3 linked regions of the Coturnix japonica genome follow. The protein of the gene in region 1 purifies or fractionates together with the protein of each later gene. This does not show direct contact. Links are inferred from orthologs where the notes say so. Each region holds a gene or a part of one and is shown in the gene's direction. Other genes may lie near its edges.

Evidence for each region.
Region 2: the proteins of SIN3B (region 1) and SAP130 purify together in Homo sapiens (affinity purification with mass spectrometry; 3 studies listed by BioGRID and IntAct, with this or other methods). This does not show direct contact. The link is inferred for Coturnix japonica from reciprocal best matches to the Homo sapiens genes SIN3B and SAP130.
Region 3: the proteins of SIN3B (region 1) and ARID4B purify together in Homo sapiens (affinity purification with mass spectrometry; 3 studies listed by BioGRID and IntAct, with this or other methods). This does not show direct contact. The link is inferred for Coturnix japonica from reciprocal best matches to the Homo sapiens genes SIN3B and ARID4B.

What each region holds. Positions count from the first base shown.
Region 1 is NC_029543.1:3,322,627-3,332,700, reverse strand, and holds the start of SIN3B (paired amphipathic helix protein Sin3b), read left to right. Parts: upstream 1-5,571; 5' UTR 5,572-5,654; intron 5,655-6,077; 5' UTR 6,078-6,161; coding exon 6,162-6,184; intron 6,185-6,686; coding exon 6,687-6,840; intron 6,841-7,513; coding exon 7,514-7,777; intron 7,778-8,110; coding exon 8,111-8,254; intron 8,255-8,478; coding exon 8,479-8,601; intron 8,602-9,066; coding exon 9,067-9,156; intron 9,157-9,572; coding exon 9,573-9,691; intron 9,692-10,008; coding exon 10,009-10,074.
Region 2 is NC_029524.1:1,638,176-1,648,149, forward strand, and holds the end of SAP130 (histone deacetylase complex subunit SAP130), read left to right. Parts: intron 1-1,727; coding exon 1,728-2,030; intron 2,031-2,926; coding exon 2,927-3,098; intron 3,099-4,326; coding exon 4,327-4,431; intron 4,432-5,132; coding exon 5,133-5,494; intron 5,495-6,661; coding exon 6,662-6,910; intron 6,911-7,038; coding exon 7,039-7,164; intron 7,165-7,991; coding exon 7,992-8,095; intron 8,096-8,332; coding exon of another isoform or gene 8,333-8,425; exon of another isoform or gene 8,426-8,465; intron 8,466-8,775; coding exon 8,776-8,889; exon of another isoform or gene 8,890-8,890; intron 8,891-9,103; coding exon 9,104-9,262; 3' UTR 9,263-9,905; downstream 9,906-9,974. UniProt on the Homo sapiens protein: Acts as a transcriptional repressor. May function in the assembly and/or enzymatic activity of the mSin3A corepressor complex or in mediating interactions between the complex and other regulatory complexes.
Region 3 is NC_029518.1:34,281,798-34,291,771, forward strand, and holds part of ARID4B (AT-rich interactive domain-containing protein 4B), read left to right. Parts: intron 1-2,694; coding exon 2,695-2,774; intron 2,775-4,059; coding exon 4,060-4,151; intron 4,152-6,355; coding exon 6,356-6,494; intron 6,495-9,700; coding exon 9,701-9,780; intron 9,781-9,974. UniProt on the Homo sapiens protein: Acts as a transcriptional repressor. May function in the assembly and/or enzymatic activity of the Sin3A corepressor complex or in mediating interactions between the complex and other regulatory complexes.

The sequences.
Region 1 (10,074 bases):
GCAATGTAATGTACATATTGCACACTGCAGCGTGCTGCCGAAGCTCCCAAGGCTTCAGTGTTGTATTGACACCAATAGAACAAAATCATTATTACATATTCCTCTATCACTACCTTCCATTGCCTGGATGGCAGTGATCACCCTCATCCTCCAGACTGTGTCTGCTGTCACCTCTCCAGCACAGTATATTTTAAGCAACCTTAATGGAGCTGACATTTTCCACTGTTACATCACTGGTTTTGATCACAGAGGCTTGAAGAATAGTCTAAAAAAAGCGTGACTTCAGAGTCCTGATGTTGTCTTATATTAGACCGAGACCGATGTAGGCTAAACCCTAATGTAGGCTCTCTGTAGTGTTAGTTTCTTGCAATAAGAGGCTTCATCTCCCCATCTGTCTGATTTATGATAGATTAAGATGTCAGTTAATCTCTTGATTAACCTTCAGTCATCTAGCCAAGTACTGTGTGCAAAAGGAACCCATTACATAAATACACACTACTAATTTTTCTTTAATTATTACTGTGTATGCCAGAGGGATGCAGAGGGGATACAAACAGGGATAGACAGCAGCCTCCTCAATCTGATTTCAAGAGAAACCGATGAACTCGGCTCCTTGGGAGGTCTGTTTTCTTATCTCTGCCCACACCATTTGACAAAGGCAAACTGTGAAAGGGAACAGGCATGATCCTGGGGGTTGAAAAACCTCCTTTATACATCTGAGTGCCTGAACCTTATATGAAGCATGTAATGGTACGTTCGCCACTAAATAAAATCCCTACCACCACCTTAAAAAGAAATTAGAGTACAGGGGGAAGTAGCTCTAGAACAGACAAAGGAAGACAACAAAGGGTCCTCAGGTGTGTACAGCACCTGGTAGGGAGCGTATCAGCCTTCAGACAAGACCTTGGGGATTCTGCCAGGTGACAAACACCGGTTGCTATAGAGATAGCAGTGCTCTCCAAATGCAGAGAGATGCTCCAGGATGCATCTCAGAACTGACAGCCAACCACTTCCTACTGCTCCTGTCAAAATAGCTGAAATTTCCACAAGATTTCTTAGGAAAAAAAACAAACAACAAAAAGACAAAACAGCTGTCTCTGGAGACAGGCACTGCTACTGTGAGAATTGCTATCAGTCACCTCCTGGCTAAAGAGCAGGCTCAGCTGGGAACTCAGCAGGTCCAAAGAGCAGCATGAGCTTCAGCCCAGACACACACACCAAAATCTGCTCTGTGGGAAGATGGTTCCTCTTCCTCGCCAGCCCTCCCCCCACTCCAAGTCTTTGTCAGCTCAGATTTTTCAGGTAAATAAGCTGAAGCATCCTGAAGTTCCTAGATGCATCAGGTATCCTCTGCATGAGTCTCCAAGCTGTTACACTGTGGTGACACAGCTGTGCTCAGGAGCAAAGCCTGCAGCTTCATCTGTGAGTGGAGGTGCTGTACTTTATATACATCCTTATTCTGTCAGAGATAACAGCTTGGATGCTGACTAGAAAAGCAGATATGCAGCACTACTCTTTTACCTTCTCAGAATTCACATTCCTTCCTCAGCCTGTCACCCCATTAGAACCAAGCATATATATAGAACTGTAGCCCTCCCTGTCTTATTCAAGGGCTTGGCTGGATAAGGACCTCAGTTCATTATGTACTGTACATCACATAAACACAACTATGGGAGCTCTCAAGCCCACCACAGTCATGTTCTCAAATGATTTTCATCTCTGTTCTCTGTGTATATTAGACTTGCTCCAAAGATGTGCTGGCCAGGCTGCTTTTCTTTGTGCTTTCTTACCCAGAGGTAACTGGGAAGCTGTGCCAGCAGCGCCTCGGCTGGTTCAGTGCCTGTCACTACCCTGATCTCATTCAGTCATGTGGATTTCTCCGTACCTGAGAAACCCCTCCACACAATGCTCACCAGATTCCTCAAAGGTAGGATTAGCCCTGGGGATGGCTACAGCCCGAGCAAACATCTAATCATCCATCTGTTATGAGCAAGATCCAAGTAAGAGTAGTATAAATAAACAGAGCAAGAAGGAGATCATACGCATTTCTCTAGAAATACCATTTTGCCTGTGAGCTTACACAAAGGCAGAATAAAGGTCTATTTGCCTTTGTGCTCAGAGATGCACCATCCCCACTTGCAACTGCTTCAACAAATGAGAATAGAGAAAGTGGGTCATTTTGTCGCCAGGACAACAAAAGCACACACTGACCTAGATATGTCTAAGGGAACCTAATCTTGCTGTTGGCACAGACTAAGGGATTCAGGCAGTGTTGGGCGTTTCCAGTTGGGGAAGCACAGCACATTAACAATCTCAGATTGTTTTTTTTTGTCTGCAGTATCAGGAACAGACTTCCCTCTTTGTTTCTCACAGCAGGCAGTGCAGTGATGGCACTCAGTTCTGATTACCAGCTGCTGGTGGCAGGTTCCCAGGATGGCTTAATGCTAGTCTGCAAGATGGAAGTTACAGAGATGCTGCACACCCTCCCTGGTGAGCATTCTCCATTCTTTATGGTCGGATAGCTTCTTTCAGGTCTGAAAAAAGCCTTGACAGCTTGGCCATCACCTCTTAGCCATCAGCATTCTGCCAATTGCTGAAAGCACCAAGAATCCCTTGGTTTGTTAATCCTCCTCTCTTAACTCATAGCCAAGGTGAGGTGTGTGAAAGCATTTGGAAAAGGAACATGCACTGTCTCAGCTGCCATGGATCACTGCCTGTGCACCTGGAATTTGATTCCTGGCAGAGTAAAGTTTGTTATCCAAGATGCACATATTGAAGAGCACCCCTCCCATCACCTTCACTGGATGAGAGGCACATGACTGTATATTCTTCTGCAGACACAAAGGTACAGCCATTCCTTAAGGGTGCTGAAAAAACAAGCACTTAAGGAGCTACAGCCACAATAATGGATGTTGTGTACACAAAAGGTAGCTCAGGCCTTGCTGCTTCTGTCTCTTCTGCCACCTCTTCACTAGGTCAGTGCTTCATATCTGGAGACAGCACTTCATGAAGGAAAGCAAGCAGGTCAAATGCCTCCAGGTGCTTCACACATTCCTTTTAGAATAACTCCATATTAGCAGTTGCCCAGTATCTGCCTTGCAGTGTTAGGAGCAGGATATTTTTTCCTTGGCTTTGCTGGTGTTTCATTCAAGTTAGTCAAGCTATATCATTCCACCTCTTTAATAGGTACACTGGTATGCAAGTATGATGGCATTAACAGCGAATTACTGCCCTAAGCTATCAGGAAGAGCCAACCAACAGGATTCATGGCTCCCCAAGTCCTGCGCAGAGCTGTTTAAACTGACAGACAGCGTTCAGGTCTGATTCTGAAGCACCTGGATACATTATCAAGGTGCCAACCCTGTCTAACTGAAGAAGCACTATGTGTAATAGTGTTACTGTTAGCACTACTATGACACTAAAACATCAGTCATGGGAGTTACCCATCTACAGATTATTCTTGCTTATGCCAACTAAATGAAAAATATGTCAAATCTGTGACAAGAATAAGTCCTCCCAAATTAACAACAGCAACAGAACAGGATAGTTTGGGCCAGCTCACACCCTCCTTAAAGGACTGCTCTGGTAAAAATCTTTAGTAATGTTTTAACACTACTCTTAAGTACTGAATAACCACTGAATACTCTAGGGCAGCCTCACCTCAACCTGTGCTTTCCATGTCACAATCTGATCCCAATCACCATCTGTTTTCAGTCCTGAAAAGCATTCACTGTGCATGCTTCTCAAAAGATGACCAATACTTGGACACAGGATCAGACCATCACAGTCTGGAATGTTGCAACTGGTGAATAACTGAATTGTTAGCAACATTGAACAGCCTTAGAGCACCCTACATGCTTCAAGTTTGAGTTAAAACACCCATGTGAATGAATATTAGATCAGAAAACAGCCTAATATCTTGGCCAAAGCCTGCCAACAAACAAAGATGACTTTACTAAGCCACAGTTATTTCAGCATATGCACTATGCTTCCTTTTTCTCAGTTCCCACGAGCAAACCACAGCAATGCGTTCGACTTACCCACCTTGTATCACTACACCGGAGTATATATCCCAGAAGAGGGTAGAACACTGTAATGCTATAATAACAAGTTAGCAAAGACTTGAATGCAGCAAATAAGAATGAGCTTGAATGCAGCGACCATAAATTCAGAAACTGAAGAAAATAACTGCTTACCTTTGGAAGGCCTCAAGTAAGCAGGGATCTCCAACCAGAGATACCCTCACCTCCACAGCCAACCCTTCAATGAGGGCTGGGAAGGGGTGGATCCTGGCTCCACCCCTCCATCACTCAGCAGCACTGCTTGCACCTGAGCTCCCTGGGTTGGCCCTGCCTTCCCACCAGGTGTTCCAACACTGTTTCAGGCCATGACATAGCATTTCCACTACAAATATCAAAGCCAAAAGCTGAAATCCCAGCACTACAGCTCTCAGCAAAGGGTTCAAATAGCAGTCAAGTTAATTGCAAATTCAACCCAAGGTCTCTATGAGACATCCCTATGGTGTCCTATGGAGAAACAGACAGCATAGCATACTGGTTTCCCTCTCTCTCATGTAGCAGTAGTGGTCCAATTCAACAGAGTTCAGTTGTCTGCTGGGAAAGGAAGCAGGGGACATGCATTAGGGGAAGCCCAAAGTTAGGGATGTACATTAAGCCCTTTGCTCTGTGCCTGGCCCCACAGGTGCCTTGCTGGTGGTGCAGCGCATGCACAGCACTGCTTGTAGGATCATTCCCCAATGCAGATGGGTTTGTGGCCACCACGAGGCTGGGTCGCATCATTTGTGAGAGGTTCTGTCGTCCCACAAGAGCCTCTTCTCAGCACACCACCACCACAGCTCTGTGCAACGACATCAGAGGGAGGGACAGGAGGAAGTGCAGCACACAGCAGTGTGACCAAGGAAACCCTTCTGGGAGCCTGATCTGGACCGACACGCTGTCCCACATCTGCTCGGTGCTGTAAAAGCCAAGATGAATAACCTGAAACAGCACAAACAGCCGCTCCCCTCCCATCTCATCTCATCCCATCCCATCTTATCTCATCCTGCTTCAGAACGATGTGGTTGAGTAGCCCTGCAGGTCCCCTCGCCTTCACAGCACGAGCCACCGCTGCCACGTACCACAGAACGAGCGTGTAAGATCAGCGAATAAGCAACAATAAATAAAGACGGTGTTTGATCCACAAATGCCACAACGGGCGCTGGAGCTCAGTTTGTGCCCTTTAATCGCGGCCCAATAGGAGCGGCCACCGCGAGGGCCCCGGGCTCCCGTACAACGTCCGTCCGTCCGTCCGTCCGCCACCCGCCGCTGCCCGTAGCGGTCCCGCATTGCTCACCCCGCGCAGCCCCGTCCCTCCCTCGTCCCGCTCAGGTTTCCCCGCCGCTCCCGCCGGTGCCGCTGGAAGGGCCGGAAGCGTCGCGCGGTGCGGGCGGTTCCGCTCCGGGCCGGGCCGGGCCGTGGCGCCGTGCGCGCTGACGCAGACGCTCCGCACGCGCTGACGGGGGGCGCGCGGCGGCGGCGGCTCCGACTCCCAACATGGCGGCGGGGGGCGGCGGCGGCGGCCGGGGGGGCAGCGCCCCGCGATGGGGCGGCGGCGGCGGCGGCCGGGCCGCGGCGCAGGAGAAGCTGCCGGTGCATGTGAGTGCGGAGCGCGGCCCCCCGGGATTCGTCCCCATCCTCGCGGAGGGCGGCGGGGAGCGGCCCTGCCCGCCCCGCCGTGACCCGCCCCGCCCCGGTCCGGCGCCGAACCCGCCCCCGGGGCCGCGGGGCGCCCCTCTGCTCCCACAGCCCGGGGCGCCCCCGCCTTCCCCCCCCCCACACTCGGCCCCGTTCCCCACCCCCGTTACCGCGGCCTTCCCCCACCATCCTCCCGTCCCCTGATCCCCCCCTCGGTCCCACAGTTTCGGTGCCCTCAGCCCCGCTCCGGTATCGCGGCGTTCCCCCGGGGTCTGTTCCGTCTCACCGGCGCTCTCAGCGCGGTGGGGGTGTCAGCCGAGGCCTCTGCAGCGCCCCGGGCCTGTGCGCCCCCTCCCCGGGGCCTCAGTAGCATCCCGCCCACAGGTGGAGGATGCGCTCTCCTACCTGGACCAGGTGAAGATCCGCTTCGGCAGTGACCCCGCCACCTACAACGGCTTCCTGGAGATCATGAAGGAGTTCAAAAGCCAGAGGTAAAGCCCGGCCCGGGCTGCCCCGGGGCTGTCTCAACCTTGGGGGCTTCCTCAGCCTTCACCCCATGGTTCCCCTGTCCTTGCTGGCCCAGTTGTTCCACGCTGGAGGTGATGGAGGAGGTGTCCATCCCAGTGCCGTCTGCTTCCTTGTTTTCCAGAGCAGAAATCCATGGGAAAAGAACAGTGTGTTTTTACATCCTGCTCTGAAACGCAGATTTGGAAAAACAGATGAAGAATTTTAAGAGTATTGCTGAGAGCTCTCAGTCTTTGTGTGGTGCCCATATTGGGTAACCTGCATGTTCTTCTCTATGGAGAATGTTCCCAGTGGGTGGCTGCAGTGGATGCTGCTCCTTCCCTCTGCCTGGGCTCACTCCTAGGTCTGAAGATTCCAGACTTGTTTTTGATGAGAATGGCATCTGGCTTCTCACCTACCTCTGTAGTTTTTTGGCCTTAAGTTGTATTTCTGACATAACACAAGTAACAAAATTCTTCTCAATTTTAGCATCGACACACCCGGAGTCATCCGACGCGTCTCACAGCTGTTCCACGAACACCCCGACCTCATTGTAGGATTCAATGCTTTTCTCCCTCTGGGATACAGAATAGAAATTCCAAAGAATGGGAAGTTAAGTATACAGTCACCGCTGACAAGTCAGGTAGGTTATAAAGCTCACAGTACTCCAAATAAATCCTATTAATATATTGCTTCGCACATCTCTTGCGCTGTTTAGGCTATGTACGTTTGCATGTATTGCACATTGCAAAAGTTCTGACCTAGTTTTTAAGATGTGGTAAGGGCTACAATGTAAAACTGAAATACATCTTGTGTGTGATGGTTGGGTACACATTGGCCTCTCCTTTTTTCTTGTTACTGTGCAGCTGTGGAGGCCGAAATAGAGTTCTTACTGAATTCTGCTGATAAAGTTGTGGTTTAATGCTGATTAGTAGCAGTATGTATCTTTCAGATCTTTCTGTTGCTCAGGAGTTTAATGTTTCTTAAAACTGACATAGAACAGTGGTAACAGGAACTGCAGCACACATTACCTGGTACAGCCTCACAAGTGTGGATAATGCAGGGACAGTCAAAAGCAGCAGTGAGTCAGACTGTTTACCAAGTCAGATATGGCTTATGGGTTTGTTTGTTTTTAACTCGTGGTGTTAATAACACAGGGAAGAAAATGTATTAGCAAATTAAATCTTTTTTCCCCCCCACATTTATTTCTTCATGTGGTAATCTGTTTTAGCTAAACATTTAAAATATCAATGCTAGGATGTAGTTGCACCTGTGTTTCAACACGAGTCACTGTCTTGTATGTCTTATGCCACTAGGTGCCCTCAGAGCCTGTTCCCAGCGCCCTCCCTGGCAGCGGGCTGTTGTTGCATTACTCACAGGAGAATTCGCACAACCACAGTGACTGTACTGAGGAGTTTAGGCACCAGCTTCCGTACAAAGAAGATAAATCCCAAATCCCTTTGGAGTCCGATTCTGTAGAGTTCAATAATGCCATTAGCTACGTGAATAAGATCAAAACGCGCTTCCTTGACCACCCAGAAATTTACAGATCCTTTTTAGAAATTCTTCATACTTATCAGGTAAAAAGCCTTCAATGTAAGATAGATTATGGGTTTGTGGTGTGGCTGCTTGAACAGCTATCAAATGAGACATCAGGCTTTGTGCAACAACTGCCTCATAGATATTCATATGAAATGACAGAAGTGTGAAAACTGTCGAACCTCCTGGGCTCTGAGATGCAGAGGGGTTGTACGTGGATCTGTCTTCAATAACCTTCAGCTGATGTAGTGATAACCTGTGGGATAGGAGCCTTGGACTGTCTAATAGTTATATGAAGTTTATGTTGTGTTTTTATTTTGGCTGCTGTGAGTCGTGTGTTTGTATCTGTTTAACATCTGTGTGTATCTTTTCAGAAAGAACAGCTTAACACTAAAGGTCGACCCTTTCGGGGCATGTCAGAGGAAGAAGTATTTACTGAAGTAGCAAATCTGTTCAGAGGCCAGGAGGATCTCCTCTCTGAGTTTGGACAGTTTCTTCCAGAGGCTAAAAGGTCTTTGGTATGTGTATGCTTAAAGCAAGGCAGAATATTTAATGCTGCCTGTTCATATGTAGAATGCATTATGGAAAGACTCACAACCTGTAGATGAAATTCACTTCTCTTCACTGCTTGGAATTTCACAAAACAAGTCACTTAACTACATGCTCTTTGTTCAGATAAACAGGATTTGTTATTTGTACAGACTGAGGAGAGAGCATTGAAACGATGATTTGTTTTCTTCAGTTCACAGGAAATGGACCATGTGAAGTGAATAGTGTCCAGAAAACTGAGCATGAAAAGAATCTTGAGCACAGCAAAAAGCGATCCAGGCCGCTGCTGTTGCGTCCTGTTTCTGGCCCAGCAAAGGTATCTCTCTGCAAGTGACCTCATATTACTCGTTTTGTTTATGTAATTCCTTGGGTAAAGTTGTAATGAGTAGTGACTGTGAAGCATGTAGGTTAGGTACAAGGGGGAAAAAAATCAAAACTATTTTATATAATCTGCAAGGAAAGCATTCTAAGATGTATATGGTAGCATGTTGTATACTGATCATCAAGCCTTTAGGTGCAGAGTATTGGTCCTCAAAAGGGTAATTCATGGCTTCTGCAAAGGAAACTTTCTTTGGAATTCTTCCTGAAGTGATCCTTCTCCTCCTCAACTAGGATTCATTTGATACAGATTGCTGTGGAGGACTTGACATAGCAATGCTAGATTGCTGTTCGGGAAATACCGATGATCAGACTTTGCAGAGAGCTGTTCTGTGTCAACAAGTGGAGTTTGATAGCATTTGAATGACAACATATTAAGTATAATCGTTTGTTCTTTTGACAGAAGAAAATGAAACTGAGAGGTACCAAAGATCTGTCAGTAGCAACAGTGGGAAAATATGGAACGCTGCAGGAGTTTTCATTCTTTGACAAGGTCAGTACACGGCCTGTTGTCACGCTGTGGGCTTACTTTAAACTTGTTATTATTTATTTAATCTGTGTGTCAGCACTTAGCAATTGCCTGACTTCAAGTGGCAGAGGGAGGGCAGACCAAGAAAAAAGCAAATAGATGGGTTTGGAAGAATGGGAACTGATCATTAGCCATTTCCCGAATGCTTGTTTCTATCACGTACGTTTTACTGTGCTTTTCAGCAGCATTTCCTGATAGTGACTATATGTAGCTATTAAATTAATGTTTGAAACTGAGACTTCTGGGGAATGTTCTCTTTTTATGCTGCAATGCAAATAGAGGTTGGTCTCCATACCTGTGGTTCAGACTCCTTAGAATATGAACACTAATTAAAAGTGACATTCAAGTGGTTTGATAATTTCTTTCCAAACTGTCTGTAGGTGCGTAGAGTACTCAAAAGTCAGGAAGTCTATGAAAATTTTCTCCGTTGCATTGCTCTCTTCAACCAGGAGTTGGTCTCTGGTTCTGAGCTGCTCCAGTTAGTTACGCCATTTTTAGGGTAAGTTACTGATTGCCATCTCTGCTGCATTGGCCTTTTTCAGCCTTGCTCTGTTAATTTTTGGTAGGTGCTGTGAATTTTGTCACTGAAGCTTTGAATTCAACATCAGAAATACATTTTAGGTAGCATGCCAGCAATGCAAAGCTAATCCACAAAGAGAAATAATACAATTGGAATCTTTAATGTAGCTACCCAACTCTTGGGGAGCATTCTGGGGAGGAGCTTATTTAGGTTTCATGCTTTTATGACAAGTATTAGCCAGCCTAAAACTGTTGGAATGAAATAACATAGGTCATGCTTATTTGTGTTTTTTGAAGGAAATTTCCAGAGCTGTTTGCACAGTTCAAGTCCTTTCTTGGTGTAAAAGAGCTTTCGTTTGCTTC
Region 2 (9,974 bases), on another chromosome or scaffold:
TAACGTGAGCCAGTGCAGTCATCCCAAACTAAGGTCATTCTCTTGAGACAAAAACTTGGAGCACTTCACCTTGCTGAGTAGCTTAGGGCAGATATGGTGATTTCCAAACTCTAAGAAAATGCCTAATTCGGGTTTTCATAGTGTCTGCTGGTAGCATGTTGCTCTTGACCAGTACAGTGGCCTTGGAAGGACATGGAAGTTGCAAAGTCCATTTGCTGACTGGGAAAATATGCATAGGGAATTATGTGTTACTGAGGCCTGTTCTTTGTTAGTGACATTGGAAGTTGCTGTTGAAATTGAAGTTTCAGGTCTTGACTGTAAGTCATGAGCTTCAGGATGATGAGTTGGGATATGGACAGTGGAGCTATTTTGCTTATTACATTGATTTGAAGCATCAATTAAAGGTATTAATTAGGGCAGTAACTGGTGACACCTCAAAGCAGAGAACACGGTACAAGGAGGGATGCAAACCTACGCTGAGGACAGCCATGGAGGACTTAGCAAAAAGTACAGAGGAAACCTTTTGAAAGATCACTGAGCTGAGGGCTACCTCTGTGCTTTGAGGAAGGGGGTCAGCTTTGGCTTTCCAAGAGCCAGTTGTGCTTCCGCAGTCTCCAAAATGATTTTGTTGGATGGGCAGTTCTGCGACAAGTGTTTCACCTTCTGTACCCTGAGCAGACGTGGTAATAGGAGCCATTTCCAGGGACTGGTGCTGTATCTTAGCTTTTAAGATAGCTGTTTTTAGAGGGACTGGTCAGCACAAGAACTTGATGGAAATCCTGTGACAAAACCAGCTCGTTCAATTGAGAGCGTTCTCAATTGTTAGCAGACAAGCTCATTGCTGCAAGTTAGCACTTCATTCTGTGCACGGCTGCAGAAATTATGTTGCTGTTGTGTCATGTTTGGAGCTCTGGAGAACTGCAGGAAGTCCAATGTGGCCACTAAATGTTCCCTGTGAGAAGTGCAGCACGACTTAGGGCAGGTCTGGAAAGATGTGACCATAGTTGCTTAGAGCTGTACATTCAAATTAGCTGAACTTTTCAGTTTAGGTGCGTCACTGGGAACGCCGCAAAGATGCTGCGTTCATTGTAGCTGCAGGAATCAGCCTGTAATTGCCTGTTGTGAGTCAGATAAGATTGCATTCTAGGTCAGATAAGATTGTGTTCTGGGTCAGAATGGTTTGTCCAGCTGTGTGAAGTGGAACTGTTTGATGTGGTGAGAGATGTGGGAAGTGAGCACTGTTTTAAGGTGCTTGCACTTGGGTCTGTCTTCTCCACTTGCTTTTGTACAGGCAAAGATGTTGATGTTATTAATTGATGTAATGAGTTCTGTGCAAGACTGTGTTTTGGAAAGAATTCCTCGAGGCTTCCAGGGTGCTGAAGCAGGAAAGGTGCCAACTGTGGGTACTTGGAAGCTTTGTGTGAAAATAAACAATGAGAAAATACTCTAGTGAGCAAAAAGAGCACCCAGATTTCTGAGACTGGGTCTAGAAACATAACCTTAGCCTAACGTTGATCTTCATTGTTGTAATATGGGGTGGGGGAAAAAGTAGTGGTATTATTCTAGCAGACAGCATGGCCTTGCTGCTCTCAAACTCATTCCTGCTTCAAGCAGGATGTCAAGTTGACTTTCAGAAGAGCAGTCTATGGGGGTACCTATAGGGTGAGAGGTGGTGGGGTTGAAGTGCCCAGCCAGGCATGACCAGCTGTCCGTGTTGCTGCCTACAGTTTCAGCCCAGGCGCCCAACTCGGCCATCACGGCGCAGACGGGTGTCGGGGTGGCATCCACTGTGCACCTCAACCCCATGCAGCTGATGACTGTGGATGCATCCCATGCCCGCCACATCCAGGGCATCCAGCCAGCACCCATCAGTGCCCAGGGCATCCAGCCGGCGCCCATCGGCACCCAGGGCATCCAGCCAGCACCAATTGGGACTCAAGGACTGCACCCAGCTGCACCCATTGGCACGCAGGGGCTGCAGCCAGCGCCCATCAGCGCTCAGCAGCCACAGGCTGACACCAAGACCTCAGGTGAGTGGACTGAACCCATAACTCCTGTACAGCTCTGCCTCAAGGGGGTTCTTTAACTCTGGGTTATGACATTGTGGTGGATCAGATACATCCCCATGAATGTTCTCCTTCACTAAATAATTAGTGAATGCAATTCATTGGCTTTTTTCAGGCACTCTGGGTAGAATATATGGGTAGTGTTGGATGGGTTGTGTGTGCAGGAAAAACTTGACAGTGCAGTCATTGGTTCTCTTCAGTCCATCCTTGTGGGAAGAGCTATTTACAAGCAGATGCTCACTGAACTGTTACAGCTGTGTTGGGTCACTGCAGCAGTAAAACATGGTGAGGTGCCTCCAGTTCAGACTGTGATTAAAAGCCCTTTTTTCACAAGGAAGGGTTTGTGTGATCAGATCCCAGTGATGGACTGAAGGGAAAATGGCAGCTAGGAGCTACCATTGTGCTGGCAGATAGCACTGCGACTCCCTGCCTTGTTGTTCTGCATGTTAGTTTTCCTGGCAGGGCTTGGTGAGCAGCTCAGAATCTGAGCAGAGCTGCCAGCTCACTTACAAAGTTCAAAGTTGCCACGTGGCCTCCACCAGCAGCCCCTGTTGTGTTGCTGACCTCCCTGGCAATTTGTGTGTCTTCCATTTCTTCTGGAAGAAGTATTTCTGTAGCCAGTAGTTGTTAGGCAGGGGGTGGCTGTTATCTGCCCTGCAGGAGGCCTTGTTGGCAGATTAGTAGTAGTTATGGTGTTAGTTATAGAGTACTGGAAGCGCTGCAGCTAAATATTGGGGGAGTCAAAGGAGCAGAGACAGCATCTGTTCTGCAGACACCTGCTTTGTTGTCAGACCTCCTTCAGTAACTGCTCCTTTTTCCTCTGTTCCTCTCTCTGCTCTGCCAACATCCATCCTCCCCAGCAGTAGTACTGGCAGATGGAGCCACCATTGTAGCCAACCCTATTAGCAACACCTTCAACACTGCTTCTGCAGCAACTACAGTTGTACAGACCCACAGCCAGAGTGCCAGTGCCCCAGCACAGGGCTCTTCCCCACGCCCCAGCATCCTGCGGAAGAAACCAACCACAGATGGGTGAGTAAGATTGAAGGGGGGACGCAGAAATGGCACCTGTGTTCAATCTAGCCCAGCTACATGGCAGTATTTGATTGTGGATAGGACGTTATACAGTCAGCAAGTGGTTGCAAGTGACCTGCTGATCTGTGAAGCACAGTTTCTTCTCCTCCAGGATGGATCATAGCTGCTTCCTCCTCTCTGTAATAAGATGTCTTTTGAAAGTGACCTTTAAAGGGAAAGTGGTTTTTGTTAAGCTAAGCAAGAAAGCCTCAAATCCAAAGAGGTCAATTACTAAAATTAGAAATCCATGCTTTGCTTTCAGAGCTTTTCTTGGAAGGGTGTGTGGATGAATAGTAAGGGTGGATTGGTACCCTGCTGTGCAAACTGATTAGGGAAAGGGGAGGGAATCACTTAAAATACTTCATGTTCTCTAGCTTAATTTCAATTGCCTGAATAAAAGAGGCAGGAGAAAGCATTAGAATTAACAATCCATTTCCTCCTGATTAATGACTGAATATGTTTGGAGCTGATATGTGCTATGAGGCTAAACCGTGGTGCTTCTTTTTCATTTGGGTGGAATCCTTTAAGGCAGAGAAGTTGCAAGCTGTAAAACCAAGGCATAAATTACAGAAGCAGCTGCAGATCACCGGAGAATGTTCCCATTTGAGCGTCTGATTATTTGGAAGACAGTCTTTCTTTCAGCCTCACAGGGGACTGAAAAGTCTCTTAAATGTTTTTCTGTGTGCAGCACTGAGCTGTGTAACGTCCACGTGCAGGTCTGGAGATCCTGGAGCCAGGCTTTGGCACAGTCTGCTCCAACTAAGTAAAGCAGTTGCCCATCTTAGTGCTGTGCTGTTTAGTTCCGGATAATTTGCTCTGTCCTGAGGTTATGTGGGATGTTGGTGTGGCCAGATCTCCCTTCCCCCCCCCCCCCACATCTGGAGCCTGGCAGTCTCAATAAGATGCCTTGACTGGCAAAGTGAAAGTAAGGCTGGTATTTCTGGAGAAACCCCAAATGTGAGGGAGTCTCAGCCAGAGCAACTAATCTCTTATCTTTAAAGAAAATAAAACCTAGAGGCTTGGTTAAGAACAAGACTTTCTATAGCAGGTTGGTTAGAGTGAGTGCACACAGAGAGAGATTTGACTCCGATCCTGGATTTGGCAAGAGGGGATTGATTCCTTTCCTTTCAGTGGTGTTTATCTTTGCATCAGAGGTGGGAACTTCAGATGTGCCCTTGTCTTACAGCCTGGCAGTCCGGAAAAGCTTAATTCCACCTCAGCCACCTGAAGTAGCGAGCACACGTGTTGAGAATACGATGCGAAGCACGTCTGGATCACCAAGGCCTGCTGGGTAAGACAGGGAGAAAAGCAACTACGTCGTACTGGCTTCATTTGTGTGTCTGATTTGTGGTGTTTGGGCATTGAGGTGCTTTCTTTTGGAAAAGGTGTTTTATATTTGTCAGTGTGATGAGTTTGAATGGATGTACTTGTGTTCCGAAGCTGAGGCGATGGGCTTTTAAAGGGTACAGTTATGAGTTTGGGTGGAGGTAGTGACAAGAAAATCACCATGTTGTGTTAAAGGCCGTGCTGTAGAACTTTTCTCTATAATTCTTTGACGTTAACTCTAAAGGAAGCTGAATTCTACCTGCTTCACTTGTATCCGGTGGCTTTTGTAATTCATTGTTTTAAAACCACTAGCCCCAGAGTGTGAGCTCTCACAAAAAGGATGAGGGCAGTACAGCTTTGGGCACACGTTCTATTTGTTTGCACTGTGAAGCTGCACTGCTCCTTTTGTGAGCGTTTTGAGGCCATCTGCAGTCAGTCGTGAGATGTGCATGTGCATTAGAAGAGAACAGCACCTTAGACAAAGGGCTTAGAGAGCACAGCTGAGATGACACACACTCCTGCTACTACAGTCATTACCCAGCCAGGTGTTACTGGTACAGGAAGAAACTGACCCAAGTCCAGCTGGTCTCATTTACTTTGTGCTAGAAGGTTGTGACCGAGATGCAGTTGACATCAATTTGTTTTACTTTTCTTTCAATGTCACAGTGCCAAACCAAAACCTGAGATTCACGTGTCCATGGCCACTCCTGTCACAGTGTCTATGGAGGCTGTGTCCAACCAAGGCAGTGAGCAGCCCACCATCGCGGTTCCTCCTTCCTCCCAGCAGCCCCCCTCTGCCATTCCAACCATCATTGCCGCAGCCAGCCCCACCTCGCAGCCTGCAGCAGCTCTGTCCACCATTCCAGGAGCCGTCCCAGCTGCTCCACCGACTTCTACCACAATTGTGGCTGCTCCTGCTCCTCCAGCAACCATGAGTGGGGCCCTTTCAGCAGTGCTGGGACCTGTGGTGCCAGAGATAAAAATCAAAGAGGAGGTGGAACCTATGGACATAATGCGACCGGTATCTGGTAGGTGGTTTTTGAAGCATCAAGGTGTTTCTCTTGTTGAGAAAGTGGATAAATTAGGATTTCAACACAAGCAACCTGAAAATGGAATGACTTCTCTTTCACAGTAGCACAGAAAATAAGTCAAGGAGTTCCTTCACGCCTCACTTTCTTATAGTTCTGATCCCTGCCTACTGCTTTTCAATATAGAACAAGGGACTTGGTTTTGTGACATGACTGAGGTATGACATGCTATATGAGCACAGTATGAAGTCTTAATGGCCCAGTAAATAAAATGGAAAGCAACGATTCAGGTTAAGCTGACACAAGTTAGTAACTCCTAGAAGGAAAGGGCATTGCAGCGTCTGAGAGGGTTCCTGTCTCAGGTACTAAGAACCGCAGAACAGCAACTAGGTGAGCATCTCTAGGTTCTAATTTGCCTTGTTCTCCTTGATCTCCTGTGGAAACCACTTGGGGTTGGAGCTGCTTTCTTCATTTTCAAACAGTCCAGTTGCAAAGAGTGTATGAATTGCATGCTTAGAACACAGTCAGCAGCAGAGCCAGTATAATACAAACCAGTGCAGTTAATCTCAATTGAGATTTCATCCCAGACATTTGCTGTGTATTACGTGGCACGCTTGGTTCAGTCCCTGCAAATGTAAAGGGTTATTTTCCCCTCAGGCTCCCGCTGCTGTGCTGCCAAGCTCCAGCAGTCTGTTGGTTTGTACAGCAGCCTGCTGACACTGGCTGTTGACTTGGCAGTATAAGTGCACTGACAAGGAGAGCACTGCAGTCATGGTTTGACTACATCTGCCTCTACCTGCACTGAAGAGGGGACTTGCCTGTTTTTGATTGTGATCTGTGGTGAAACATCAATTCAAAGATGTTTTCTTTACTGACCATGTGAGAGATATTAGCACAGGTTCCTTTTCAATAGCATTCAACTGCTGCAAGCCTTGAAGGTGAAGGAACTGAGTGAGAACAGTCTCTTGTCATTTTTTGTTCTGAGGATCTTAGAATACAGGCATTGTCCTAGTGATGAGTCCTGGTTCTCATATACTAAGGGATGAACTGCATCTGTGGTGGAGCCCATGTTTCTCACAACGCACTGAGAGGAGATGGTGTTAAAACACAGTACTGCTACCTCTGTGCCACTGGTAGTTGAGGTTCTTCTCCTTTCTCTCCTTCCAGCAGTCCCTCCATTGACTACAAGTACTGTCTCTCCATCTTTGGCACTGCTGGCCAACAACCTTTCGATGCCTCCAAGTGATTTGCCGCCTGGTGCCTCCCCAAGGAAAAAACCCCGTAAGCAGCAGCACGTCATCTCCACAGAGGAGGGAGACATGATGGAAACAAACAGCACTGATGATGAGAAATCTACTGCCAAAAGCTTGCTGGTGAAGGCAGAGAAGCGCAAGTCTCCTCCCAAGGAATATATAGGTAATGCCATCTCTGACACTCTTCTCCTACTTGAACATCTGTGTTTTACCTGTTGCCTGTCACGATTGCTGCCGTGCTGGTCTCCCATGTCACAATAGTAACACAGCTGTCTGTGATCCCTTTTGTAGATGAGGAAGGTGTGAGGTATGTCCCGGTGCGTCCCAGGCCTCCCATCACATTGCTCCGCCACTACCGCAATCCTTGGAAAGCCGCCTACCACCACTTCCAGAGATACAGCGACGTCAGAGTGAAAGGTCAGTGTGCTGCCTGAGGAGCTGCATGGGCTGATGATGATGATGATAAGCTGCCCCACAAGCAGGCTTTGCTCACAGTATGGAACACAAGCGTTGGTCACTCACGTGAGCTAATGACTTAGTTAGCTAGATGTTGCTTAGATCTTTTCTCTCTCAAGACTGAGAAGAAAAGGGGAGGATCTTCTATAGAGTCAGATACAATTCTAACTGTCTGGTTAACCGAAAATGTTATGTTACTGAGAAATGTATTTATGTACAAGGATAGAAACTGCCTAAAGAAATTCCTAAATAGATTATATAGCGGTAGGCTATGGCTTGGCACTCAGATTGCCTTACTACCTAACAGTGCTGCCAATGTAATCAAAAGCGTTCCCTATTTAATGAGTCTCGTGAGCTAACAGATGGGCCTGGTGCGTTTCTATGGGATGTTTCTGATAGTAAGAGGAAAACTGAGATCAGGTTCTGTGATTTGGACTTTGTGGCTGGTAGGAAGGAGCAGATAGGTATTGCAGCAGTGTGAGATGGACTGCTTGCTTCTTCATGTACAGTGTTGGAAGCAACACCTCGTTTTAGAGGAAGAAAGGGAAAATCAACATTGCAAACAATAAAAAATGATCTGAAAATGCAGATGAGCCATTGGGGGGTGAGAGCAGCCTTCAGGTAACGTGGCAGATGAGTCGTTATGTTCCTGTCCCAATCAAAGTGTTGCTGACTCTTCCTTAAGCAGGATGTGTGGAAAGCAGGAGCTGGGTTAAAGCTTTTGTTTGAGAACAGAGGCCTGGTGGACTCCTGAAACTTGAACCTCTATTTGTGTTTTTTGGTGACAGAAGAGAAGAAAGCCATGCTGCAGGAGATTGCCAGTCAGAAGGGTGTATCCTGCCGTGCACAAGGGTGGAAGGTCCATCTGTGTGCGGCGCAGCTGCTGCAGTTGGTAGGTGCATGGGACGTGCCGGCTGCCTGTACCGCGGGGAACACGGAGCTCTGTAAGGCAGGATGTTATCACAAACTCAGTACATGCTCACCTGATGCAGGGATGCCATAAGCTGGTGTGTAGCGCCCAAAGGGAGTGGGACACGCTTTTCCCCTTTCTCAGGAATGTGGCGTTAAGTGGCTTGGAAACTTAGTGTTGGTTTTGATCCAGACATAAGAGCTGATGTATTTTGTACAGATGATCAAAATTGGCAACTCCCTCCTGCTGATGCACAGGTCTGAAGAAGCGTCTGTTTGGGATGGTGCGGCTGATCTGAGGAGGCAGCACTGATCCACATTCCTGGATGCTTCTGTTTCAGGTTGGGGGTGAGGTAGGTGCTCTGCATTCTAGCACCAAACTCCCCAAAACCTCTGCATTCCTGGAATAGTATTGTGAGAGACAGGGGAAACAGTTCTGGCTAGGTTCCATGTTTGTTCAGAAGTGGAGCAATGCTGTGAATAGGATGTTTAGTAAGAACAATAATGCCACACTCAGCATCAGAGGCTCCATCTTCTGAATGACTAACATGAGCAGCTGAGAGGGGAACAGACGATTGTCTTCTCTGTGTAGATTTCATAATGTGGGCAGATGTTTTATGGGCCCGGTGGTGAACCTGCTCATGAAGTGCTGTTGTCTTGTAGACAAACCTGGAGCGTGACGTGTATGAGAGACTGACGGCCTTACAGGAGGGGCTCATTCCTAAGAAGAAGGCAGCAACTGACGATGACCTGCATCGAATCAATGAGCTGATACAGGTAGGCTCCTACTGGCCCCTAAGCTCAGAAGAACTCTTCTACCTTTAGTAATTGCAGCAGGATGTTTTCCAAGTAAGTGCTGAATCTGGCTTTAAAAATAACACAATAATAAAGGTGCTTCTCCTGCGTCATTGGTTAGTGGGGGCTTTATACAGTAAAGGTGTTTGTTGTGACTGTTTATTCTGCTGTTGGTGACGATAACGTTTTATTTCAGGGCAATATGCAGAGATGTAAACTCGTGATGGATCAAATCAACGAGGCGAGAGACTCGATGCTGAAGGTGTTGGATCACAAGGATCGTGTTCTGAAGCTTCTGAACAAGAACGGAACTGTCAAGAAAGTATCCAAATTAAAGCGGAAGGAGAAGGTCTGAAGCCAGAATAATGACTCTGGAAATGGAGGACGTGTACAGGACGGAGTTACGACCTTTTGTAGTTTGAGTTTATTTTTAAGCAGAGCATCTGAATAAAAAACAAAAGGATGAGTTTAGAGAACAGATGGCAACAGATGGACGTGTGGAGCCCGGTGACCTGAAGGGATTGTCGCTGACCCGTCGGAACGAACAACGCTTTCTCTCAGGCTCATTCATTTTTTAATGTGTTTGGCAGCCCCACGTGTGTAACCCGGTGATGTGTCGGTGCCGACTATTGGAACAACCAGTGCTGCAGCTGGGGCTGAACCAGGTGAGGCGGCCACGCTTTAAAGCACTGAACACGACACTGCTTCCTGCTGCCCCCCATTCAGTTCTTCTGACCTTCCAGTGTCTGAAGGAGCCTTTTAAACCCAGAGCTGCTGCACCACGGGGTGCAGGAGTCCCGGATATCAGTTTTAAAGAGGAAAATACACAAACGAGGGGTGGAGGGTGGGGGGTGAATCCCGGCTGGTTTGTGTGGTGTCTGTGTGTGTCTGTGGGTGCTCGTCCTGCAGCACAGTGCTTCGTGTAGCTGGTGTAACGTTCATTTTATGTACCACATACAGCCCAAAAAACATGAATAAAGGACTTGGAGGTTTTTGTACGTCAGGGGTTGCTGTACTTCTTGTACCACTGCAACTGCTCTACCTTAATTTCAGGTTAAGGCCTTGAG
Region 3 (9,974 bases), on another chromosome or scaffold:
CAAAATATCAACATTTCTTTTTGTTTATCTCTCATCTCTCATCACAGTGTGAAACTGAGATGTGAAATAAGGATTAAGTGAGCTGCTCTGTGATTGGGTATTTCTTAGTGTATGCAATAACAGTATATGTTATTAAATATTCCAAAGATTAACAGGTTTTTTTTAAACACAGATTGCAATACTTATTTTCCCCCCACTTTTATACTTTGCCCTGATAACAACTGCTATAAAATCAAAGTCATAGATTTTTTTTTCTCATTTTTTTAAAGTTTCCTGTTTATTTTCCCTATTCTAGTACATGACGTTTCAGACTTCAGATGATGTATCCGCATACCCACATACAAGCCTTGATTATTACTGTAATTTTGCGTAGGCTTTAGAGTCGTGAGTTTTAATCATTGATGCTGTATGAAATCAGATCAGTCTATCCCGGGGAGAGCAGGTCAATGGTAGAATGATAACAGACTTTCCACCTGTGCGTTGGTACTAATAAGCCTGTAACAGGAACTTCTTGAGAAGTTGAGTATTTGTCTCCTTGATTGATACTGTGCGTGTGGGAGGATGGAGGACTAGATCTTGAAAGAAGCTTGTCAAGAATTACTTGTATTGAGATGCTAAGAGTTGTTAGTGCCTAAAGCACTGTTGAACGCTTTGGGAGAGTTTTCCCAACCTTGGTTCTTTCAGAAAGGAACAGAGTTTACATTTGATCTTCTACATAAGCATTGTAGAAAATATTTCAGTTTTCCTATTGAAGTACAGTGTATGAGTAAAGGAGAAACAAGGCAAGGATAGGGTGAAACATGCTGTATAAATATATTAATTGATATTATAGATACCTCTGGTAATTAGTACAGAGGCAGATCAGATGTGAGAGATTCTAAGAACAGAATGGTATAGCTGGTGTTAGAATGGAGTGTGCACATAGAAAGTTTTTGAGAAAGCATGTATTTAATACTTCAGCAATAAGAATGAGATAGGAGCCAGTGCAGATTAAATTCTGAAGATAGGTGTCATGGAACTGGTTTGTAAATCAAAGTAGATATCTGTCAAAAATCCTGCACTCGAGAAAGAGGAAGAAGAGAGATGTGAGAGTTAGTAGATAAAAGCAGGCTTGTTGACCTTGCAGAATCAGTAAAAGCATCACAGCTGGTGACAATAATACATTTAAGAGAGAACTGACTCTAGCAGTAGATGGTTTGAATAATCTTTTAGTCAGGACAGTGAGTTGAGTGGGTCTGAAATTCACCCTGTAGGCAGTGATGACTTTGCATATGTGAGTGAAAGTCTTGCTTTAAGGAATAATCAAAATTTACCGCATTTTAGAAGTAGCACACTTCTTAACCAGCGGGGTTATCTAATGTTATCCTATCGTTTGTGAGAAGTATCAAAGTACTTACATCATTAATGATTCCATGAGTAAAATTACTTACCTTTGGAAAGTAAGGCTTTATGGAAGAATAGGTCTGAGGTAGTGGCATTCCAGAAGTGAATGTGTTACCATTTGTGCCACTGCAGCAGTGGTGTGTAGAAATAACAGTAACTGTTGTTCCTGTGTTGAAGTGTAGTCTGACTCCCTTCTGCACCTTTTTTCATCATTATACTGCTGGTTTTGCTTTTTTTCCTTTCTTGCAGTTTCAGGTGCAATGTTTTAAAGTGTAGTACGTGTTTTTATGTCTGCTTTTAGTTAGTTTTGAAGATGTCCCATCAGGTTTGAATTTCGTGTGCGTTAAAGCCTTATCTGCTATAGTGGCCACACAGTCTTAAAGACTGATGGTGCTTTTCCATTCACTGTGTTAGGGAACAAGGTTAAGGATCCCTCTGACAGGGAAGTGACCACAAGCAGATTAGCACATAGGATACGTAACCTGCCTGCCTACCTAGCTCTGAATGGGTTTACCCTTGTTGTAGTCAGCTTATCCCATGAAGAGGATAGGCTTTTTTTTTTTTTTTTTTTATCTCTCATTATGTAAGGACACTCAGTTATGTTAATTAACACTAACTGAATTAGGATCCTGCTGCCTTCTACTTCACTTAATCAAAGGAGATCTTAATTGCGTATTGACCATTTGAGATGTACCTCAGAAGTTGGTGTGTTCTCTTGTGCAGCCCTTTTTACTTTTTCAACAAATTTTTAAGTGTCAGGTGTGCATCCATAATTGCTGTTTTTCACTAAACCATACTCAACAATTAGTGTAGTGAAAAACACAGAATGGTAATCTTAAGGGGTGGGGTTTTTCTTGTTCTTTAATAGTAGTGGATTATAGGGATGAAAAAAAAGAATCCCAGAACTAGGTACTAGTTACTTCTTTATTAAATAAATACTAGTCCGGAGTTTTGATGTACCTTGGTTGTTTTTTTTATCATATTTTAATTAGTAAATGTTGGAACTAGAGTGTTGTACCCGCTATTCGATGACATGGCTGAAAACTAAGCTCTAATCATGCCAGGCATCTTCTGCTGGTTGACAGCCATTCTCTGAACACTGTTATTTTGCCTCCTGTTTGTAAAAGTGTTTATGTATTTTTCCTTTTCTAACACAAGATTAAATTTTAATGAGTCAAACTCAGCAGTACTGTTGATTGACAAAAGAGAGCTTAAATGAGAGTGAAAGAGAGTTACTAATATCCCCATTTTGAATAAACAAATATTTTTTTCTTTTTTTTCCCCTCTTCACTATGTATTACTTGGTGACAGTGTTTGATGATGGTGATGAGAAGACTCTCAGACGCTCTTCACTTTGTTTAAAAGGAGAGCGGCATTTTGCAGAAAGTGAGGTAAGTGACTGATTTTAATACTACTCTTTATTTAGAAAAAAATGTATCTTTTGTACCTCAGTCTTTAATATGTTGTGTCCATCCACATGACTAGAAATAATGGTTGTGTAAAATACACCTTGAATAGTTTGGATTCTGTTTGTTAAAACCTGGGAATAGAGCTGAATTTCACTAAGCTTTGTAAGTTGAAGAATAAAGTAAATGTTCTGTGTTTTTCACTTTTGTATTAGTAATGGTCTGTGGATTGTGGGTCACACAGAAAGCAGCCATCACATTGCTTTACATGTTGAAAAAATCTGTAAATATCCATTGCAAAAAAAATCATAATATGGTATGCAATAAATAAATATACATCTTTAGGCATCACTACTATTGGGTTTTAGTAAGTGATTAAACTATTTTGTGACAGCCAATAAACTTGACAGGTCAGTACAAACAACTTGCAGGTACAATTCAGAGGAATGTGTTTACTTTGGAAGACGTTACGCCTTCTTTCAAAGAAGGAAAAAGCCTTGTCTAAAACAAAAACAAGTAGTGCACACATACCAGGAGCCTTCAAATCTGGAATGATTCTTTTAAATTGATATTGCCTTTTAAATAGGTAACAGCAGCCTTGAAGATGCTGGAGGTCTTTGAGGCGCTTGTGTTGCTGTTTTAGTAGTCTTGCTGATCGAAGGAAGTTTTCTTTCTCTCCATCTTGTTTGGTTGCTAGTAATACTCAGTACTGGAACAACTTGAACATTGTTTTGGAATGCATCCCATGTCAGCTACACATTTTTGTTAGTAAATCAGTTTGTTTGCTGCTACTGGGTTAGCTCCCTGTTTCATTTTATATGGGAACCTTTGTAGATGGTTCAGTATTTAGTTAGTTGGGTGATAGGACATAGGCAAGAATTTATCCTGTAGAGATGAAATATCCCAGGTCAGCAGAATACCTGATACTCCGTTCTCTGACTTTGGATGATCCAAAGACAGGACTTTGGTAAAATACTTGTATACATGTGTTTAGGATGAAAATTAATTTTGTTTGGGTATAAGGGAGAAGGAGTGCTTTAAAGGAAACACACGCAAAAGCACATGCACAGAAACCCCACGCAGAACTATTTCTATTAGACCTTAAAGCAGTGACATTATTCTAGCATTTTTCTTTGGTAATGAGTCAGTCTGTATTGGCAAAAATTTTTTTAATGTGGTAATAGGAACTTGCATTTTGAAGAATTACTTACACAGCTCTCATGAGTTTATATGCCTGTATTTTTATGTATTTATTTTTGTATTTCAACAGACTTTAGATCAGCTTCCACTCACAAATCCTGAACACTTTGGGACTCCTGTTATAGGAAAGAAAACAAACAGGGGAAGGAGATCAAATCATATGTAAGTTTAATGTCTTTATATCTGTGTTTTTATTAAATTGTGAAGCTCTCAATATGTTTTCTTATTAGCTGTTGTGTGTTCAGACTATAAACAAGCAAAAACATCATCAACAACAAACTACTCCGCAAGCTATATGAGAAGTGTTGTTCAGGGCTCAGACTGAAAGTCAGCTTTTCCTGCGTTGCTGCATGGAAGAATTACATCATTTTCATGTTATCAGTACTTAAAATGGTGGCAGATATTGACAAGTGGGCTTTGACAATCTATTGAATTTCAACTAAAAACATTATGACACAGTCTTTGTTTAGCTTGAATTGAAGTGTTTGTAGAAGGCACTGGAAACCTCATGTAGTCTTTTGGTTTCCTATTACAGGGTCTCTGAAGAGCTTTTAGAAATAGAATAGTATTATGGTCTGCAGCAAAGCTTTCTGATAGAAAAATAACAGTCAAGAGTAGTGACTTGATTTCCTGGGTGCTGGAATTTGTAGTAGTTGGGAACATGAAACGACGTTATGAAAAAACTGTTTTTGTTGTTGTTTTTTCATTTTTAAGTTTTGAGGGAGTAATGGCAAAGATGGGGAAGGAGTTGGAGTGCTTGGATTATCCCTTCATGTTTTGTCTTCTTTGTAATAGTTGCTACCAAACATTGCCCTGTGTTTGTTCAGGTAGTAGGGTTTTTTTTGTTCTTTAGTGTTTTTTTTTGTGTGTGTGTGTGTGGTTTTTGATTGTTTGTTTGTTTTACTTCTGTAATGTAGCGAAGGAAAAAGACAAGCTGGCACACACAGCAAACATGATTGCTGCCCCCCTGGTGTCTGAGTTGTTTTCTCCTCTGTTTCCCTAACTGTACAGGATGTTGTTATGGCAAAAAGAGCACACTTATTTTTATCTTATGGTTCATACTGACTGAACTGAGTAAAAAGACAAATTGTACAGCTGATGGTAAGCTCAGCTACACTGTGATCTCTCCAAGATAGCCCTGGCATTCTATTGTCCTTGACTTATTCTTTTCCCACAAGAATTTCTCAAAGCCCAGGAAACACCCTAAAAGAATTCCATCATGTGCTTATAAAGAAATAATTAATTTAAAAAAAACCCAAACAGTTTTGGGGAGAAATAATGCTTTTATTAATGCTGCAAATAATGTCAGGTGGAGTAGAGAGAACAAAACAGAGTAGTTAAGCTTAGACTTTAAGAACATTTTTTGCTAACGAAAAGTGAGCCTTCTGTTAACACGGAGCTTTGTGCGTAGAGATAGTTATGGGAAAAACAGAAGTTAGCTTTTAAATTCTGCATTAAATGCATATTGAATATGCTTGTATTTTTTGAGTTAACTTGCAAAGAGAGTAGTCAAAAATGTAATATTTAATAATAGAAAAACAATAATGTGTGTATGTGTAGCGACTGATGCTGCATATATTTTTTAACTGATTGCATTTCGTTTTAGTTGGAGCCATTTCTTACATTTCAAGTCTCCATATGGTTAAAATCAGCTATAACTTCATCCTGGAACAGCCAAAACAATGACCTGAAACCTTTCTATAATTAAAATACATTTGCATCTTTGTTTGTCTACTTATGTTCCTACACTTTGTTCTGTATGAAATTGAAGTAGTCATTGCAACATATCAGTGCAGATTATTTAAAGAGCTATTTTGGGATAAAGAGACTTTTTTTCTCTCTTTGCTGTTTATCTTCGTAGCTGACGTTTTTTCATAGATTTGGAGATCTGTACTTTTAAAATAGTCATTCTGTTCTGTGTGGAAGACGACAGCAGGCTTGTAGATGACGGCTGTTAAAGTAAAACCATAGAGAGATTAAAGTTGGTTCAAAACTGCAACTGCCACTGTATTTTTGAACAGTATTTTTGAACTGGGGCAAAATTAAGATTTTGAACGTTCTGGTCGTGCATTTCTATTCTTCCATGTGGATGTTTATTGTCTTTCTGTATTGTTTTTTTCTCTCCTGGCAGGTATTACTTGTACATATGCCTTTCTGAGTTTGTAATGGTTTAGTTACTGTATTTTTTATTTATAAATATAGTTATTTATGAAGACGTAAAATAATGTTATTCATTATTAGTTTAATATATTTGACTTCAGTTCAAGTCAGTATTGTTTCTGCTATTTTTGACAGTTGTGTTGCTTGTAATTATAGTAGGCAGGAGATTTGAGTGGTTGAGTTTTAAGTCTTTTTCTATTGTTCAGTCCTGAAGAAGAATCTTCATCCTCTTCCAGCGATGAAGATGAAGATGATAGGAAACAGAGTGATGAGTTGCTAGGAAAAGTTGTGTGTGTCGATTGCTTCAGTGTGGATAAAAAGAAAACCCTGTGGTTTCCAGCCTTGGTAAGAATTTTACCTTTAATTTTTTAAAGATCCGTGTGTTGCTAGACAGCAAAGAAAGGTGGTTTCTGTTGTGTATCCTTTTCAATAGATTTATCTACATTGTTAGTTGAACTTGATACATTTCTTGGATGTTATACAGTGTTTCCTATGAATACTATATGTAAATACTTCTGTTTATGCAAACTCATTGCTAACGAGGGTTTAGTTTTTCCAAACAGTCAGAGCTCATTGACCTATTTCTAGCTCGGCAGTGTTACGTATTACTACCAAACTAATACTGGAGGGCTTTCAACCTGTGTTTTTGTATATCATTTTTCTGAAGTAGCAATATTAAGAGAGAAGTCCTTCTAAGTGTAAAAAGAAAGCTTAGTAATTAAGTAGGCATTACTTTGAAATGCTTGAATCGTTTCTCCTTGACAGTGCTGACAGTGTTTTTATTGAATTTTAAGAAGAGTTGTTTGAAACAATGCTGCTTTGACATTAAACTCTTGGTAGTGTTTGCAGTAACTCTCAGTTCCAACTTTCTAGTCATCACCTCCTGAGTCTTGTAATGTAGTCCAGAGGCTTTCCAGAAGGATTTGTTTTGAAAGAGTTGGTGGGAGAGGATGAGTCATTGCAGTCTCTTTTACAGCAAAGGAGAGGGCAGTAGATGTGGCGATGAGATAACCCTGCTGATGAAAGATAGCTTTAAGAGAATTTTTCAGTAGCAGACAAGAAAACTGACCTGTTTCTTTACTGAAAGCTGTCAACAAATTTGATACAATACCGCCTACCTGCTGTTGATAACTGTGCTGCAGTTATACTCTGTGAATGGGTCAGTTTGCTGGCCTGCTTTTTCTCATGCTGCTGTTAGGCCTTGTGATAATCCACATAACCGACAGCAGTGTTTCCTGTGTAGACTCGGGTAGCTAATCTGCTTGCGTAGGGTGGAATGGATAATTAGGATAACTGGGGGTTAGGTCTTAAGAATTAACGAAGCTCTGTTGCTCATTCTTCCAAGGTATACAAAAAAAATGCATGCTGTTATTTCTTTAGCTTTCATTTGGGGGATGGAGTAGCTTGTTCTGTGTGGAAGGTTCCCTGCAGTAAATGAGAAGCAGCAAAGGGATCAAGTTGGAAGGTGGATCTTGTTAACTCTGAAGTAGCTTATCCTAGATTAACTGTTACTTCAGTAATCAGGTTTACAGTTTTGCAAATAAATATGGTATTTAACCTTAAAGGTTATATCAAATAATAAATGTATTGCCCAAATAGCTTCTTTCCCCTCCTATATCTGTGATGCTCTGTTTTTTATCTTTTCAAGTGTTACTTGTGCTTTATCAACAAAGTAATTTTATTTTGTTTCTGAGCAGTTTTGCTTAATTTGTATAGCATGGCTGACTGTAATTATGTGGATAATAAGCTGAAAAGGCAGGCCTCATATGTTGAGGAATATGCATCTCCAAAATGCTTCACTTTATTATTAATGATGCCATATACATATACAGTTAGTGGCTAATTGTATTTAAAATAAACAAAAAGGTCTGGCAGTTGCTCTTTCTGTTAGGTAGTGTGCTTGGTAAGCTTGATAGTGTTATTTAGTTAGAATATATACTTAAAGGCTTTTGGAAATTACAGTTAGGAAATCTTTTCACAGCTTTTTCAGAAAACTGGGCTTACATAGGATCATCTCTCTCATTCTTCTATAAATACAATGGAGTTTGTTTTGCAAGGAAATCAAGAAGACTTGATTTAGGGAAAATTGAGATTGTGCCATTGTGTGTAAGGCATTAGATGAGATTGTGGCGAGCTGTTTTCTAACCTGTGAATGGATTTCTGACCGCTACAAACTTGAGGCTGCTAGAAAACCGGTAGCTGAAGTCAGGCCAACTTATCAGTCTTTAAAGAGCTTGGAGATTGTCTATTTTAAATGGGGAATGATTACTGTTTTATTTTCCTAGATACTGATGCATTCCTGCAAACTGTATCTCAGACTGCATTTTAAGTTTGTTTTTGTATAGTACTTTCTTTGGAGATTGTAAAGCACGTTGAATTTGGAGACTTGCACTGCCAAGTTTTACTTCTCTTAAGAAGCCTGTTTAACCTGTGCTGTATGATAAGCCACACAGTTGCAGCTTTTGACTTCAACTTCTAGAACACTACAAAGCTGACAGCCTACATAATGAGAAAGACGACTGTATGTCGTACAGTATCTTTTTGTATCAAACACAAAGTAGGACTGGAAACAACTGGTTTAAAAGAAGAGTAGTTTACTGGGACTAAATTAGAGTTGCAGTCATCTGCTGCTCCTTGGGGCTTCATATCAACCCGAGTTTTCTTAACTTTCTGGGAGTAATTCAAGTTTTGAGAGAAAAATGATGGAAAGGGCCACTTTCCTGTTCTGCAAGTATGAAATGTCAATGAATAATGTACGTGTTATCGCATTCATCAACTTTTTAAATTAATGACTTTTATACTAACTTTAAAGATTCAAATAGCTTTTAAAATTGCAATAAGCTGAAGGTGGTGTCTCCGTGCTAGGCTAGACTTAATAAATTTATTTCTTGTATTAAAGAGTCTATCATAGCACTTGTACATGAGATATTATTATCTCCCAGTAGGTAGCTTATGAGACATTCAGGGTCTGGCTGCATGAGACTCTGAGTAACCTGATCTAGCTGTAGGTTAGTTCATTTCATTGCAGGGCAGTTGGACCATATGGCTTTTAAAGATCCCTTACAACTCAACTGATTCTATGATTCCTTATGAAATTGTGTGTGTGGGGGATTTGTTTGGTTGTTTCTTTTTCTCCTCTGAAATTGTGGGTTATGGCATCTTTGTGATTTCTGGATGTGTTCAGAAGAGATCCCTGATGGCAGTGTTTGTTGAGAGATTAACCCTTCTAGGATGAGGAGTAAAATCTACTGTAGAGACATGACAGGTACTTAGTATTTGTCAGGAGGATGTTTTTAACCTTTTTCTGGCATCAATAGCTAGTTCCCTTCAGGCAGCAAGCATGGATCTCTGTATTCAGTAATTCCAGGTGAGCATTGCTTCTGTGTTTTGAGAGATCTTGCTCTTGTGTTTTGAGGGGTCTCAGTTGCTTTCATTGCAGTGTTGCTGGAGAAAAATGAACCCAAAAAGTTTTTGAGAAGCATTGGTAAATTCTATTACTACCTTATTACTCTTCTTTCTTTCTGAACTTTGCATTTGTAATATCTTTGCAGGTGGTCTGTCCGGACTGCAGTGATGATATTGCAGTGAAAAAGGACAATATTCTCGTTCGTTCTTTTAAGGATGGCAAATTGTAAGTAAGGATGTTGAGTCTGATAATTAATAACGTGCACTAGTCAAGCGAATCATAGTGTGAGATACAGTGAATACAGTATTAATAACAGCTCAGAAAGTTTCTGTGAAGATTTTTCTCATGTTTAGAAAACTGTCAATAGCCTACATAGTGGTAAAGTTGGCCTTGAACTTTGTTTCTGTTAATAATTGTTA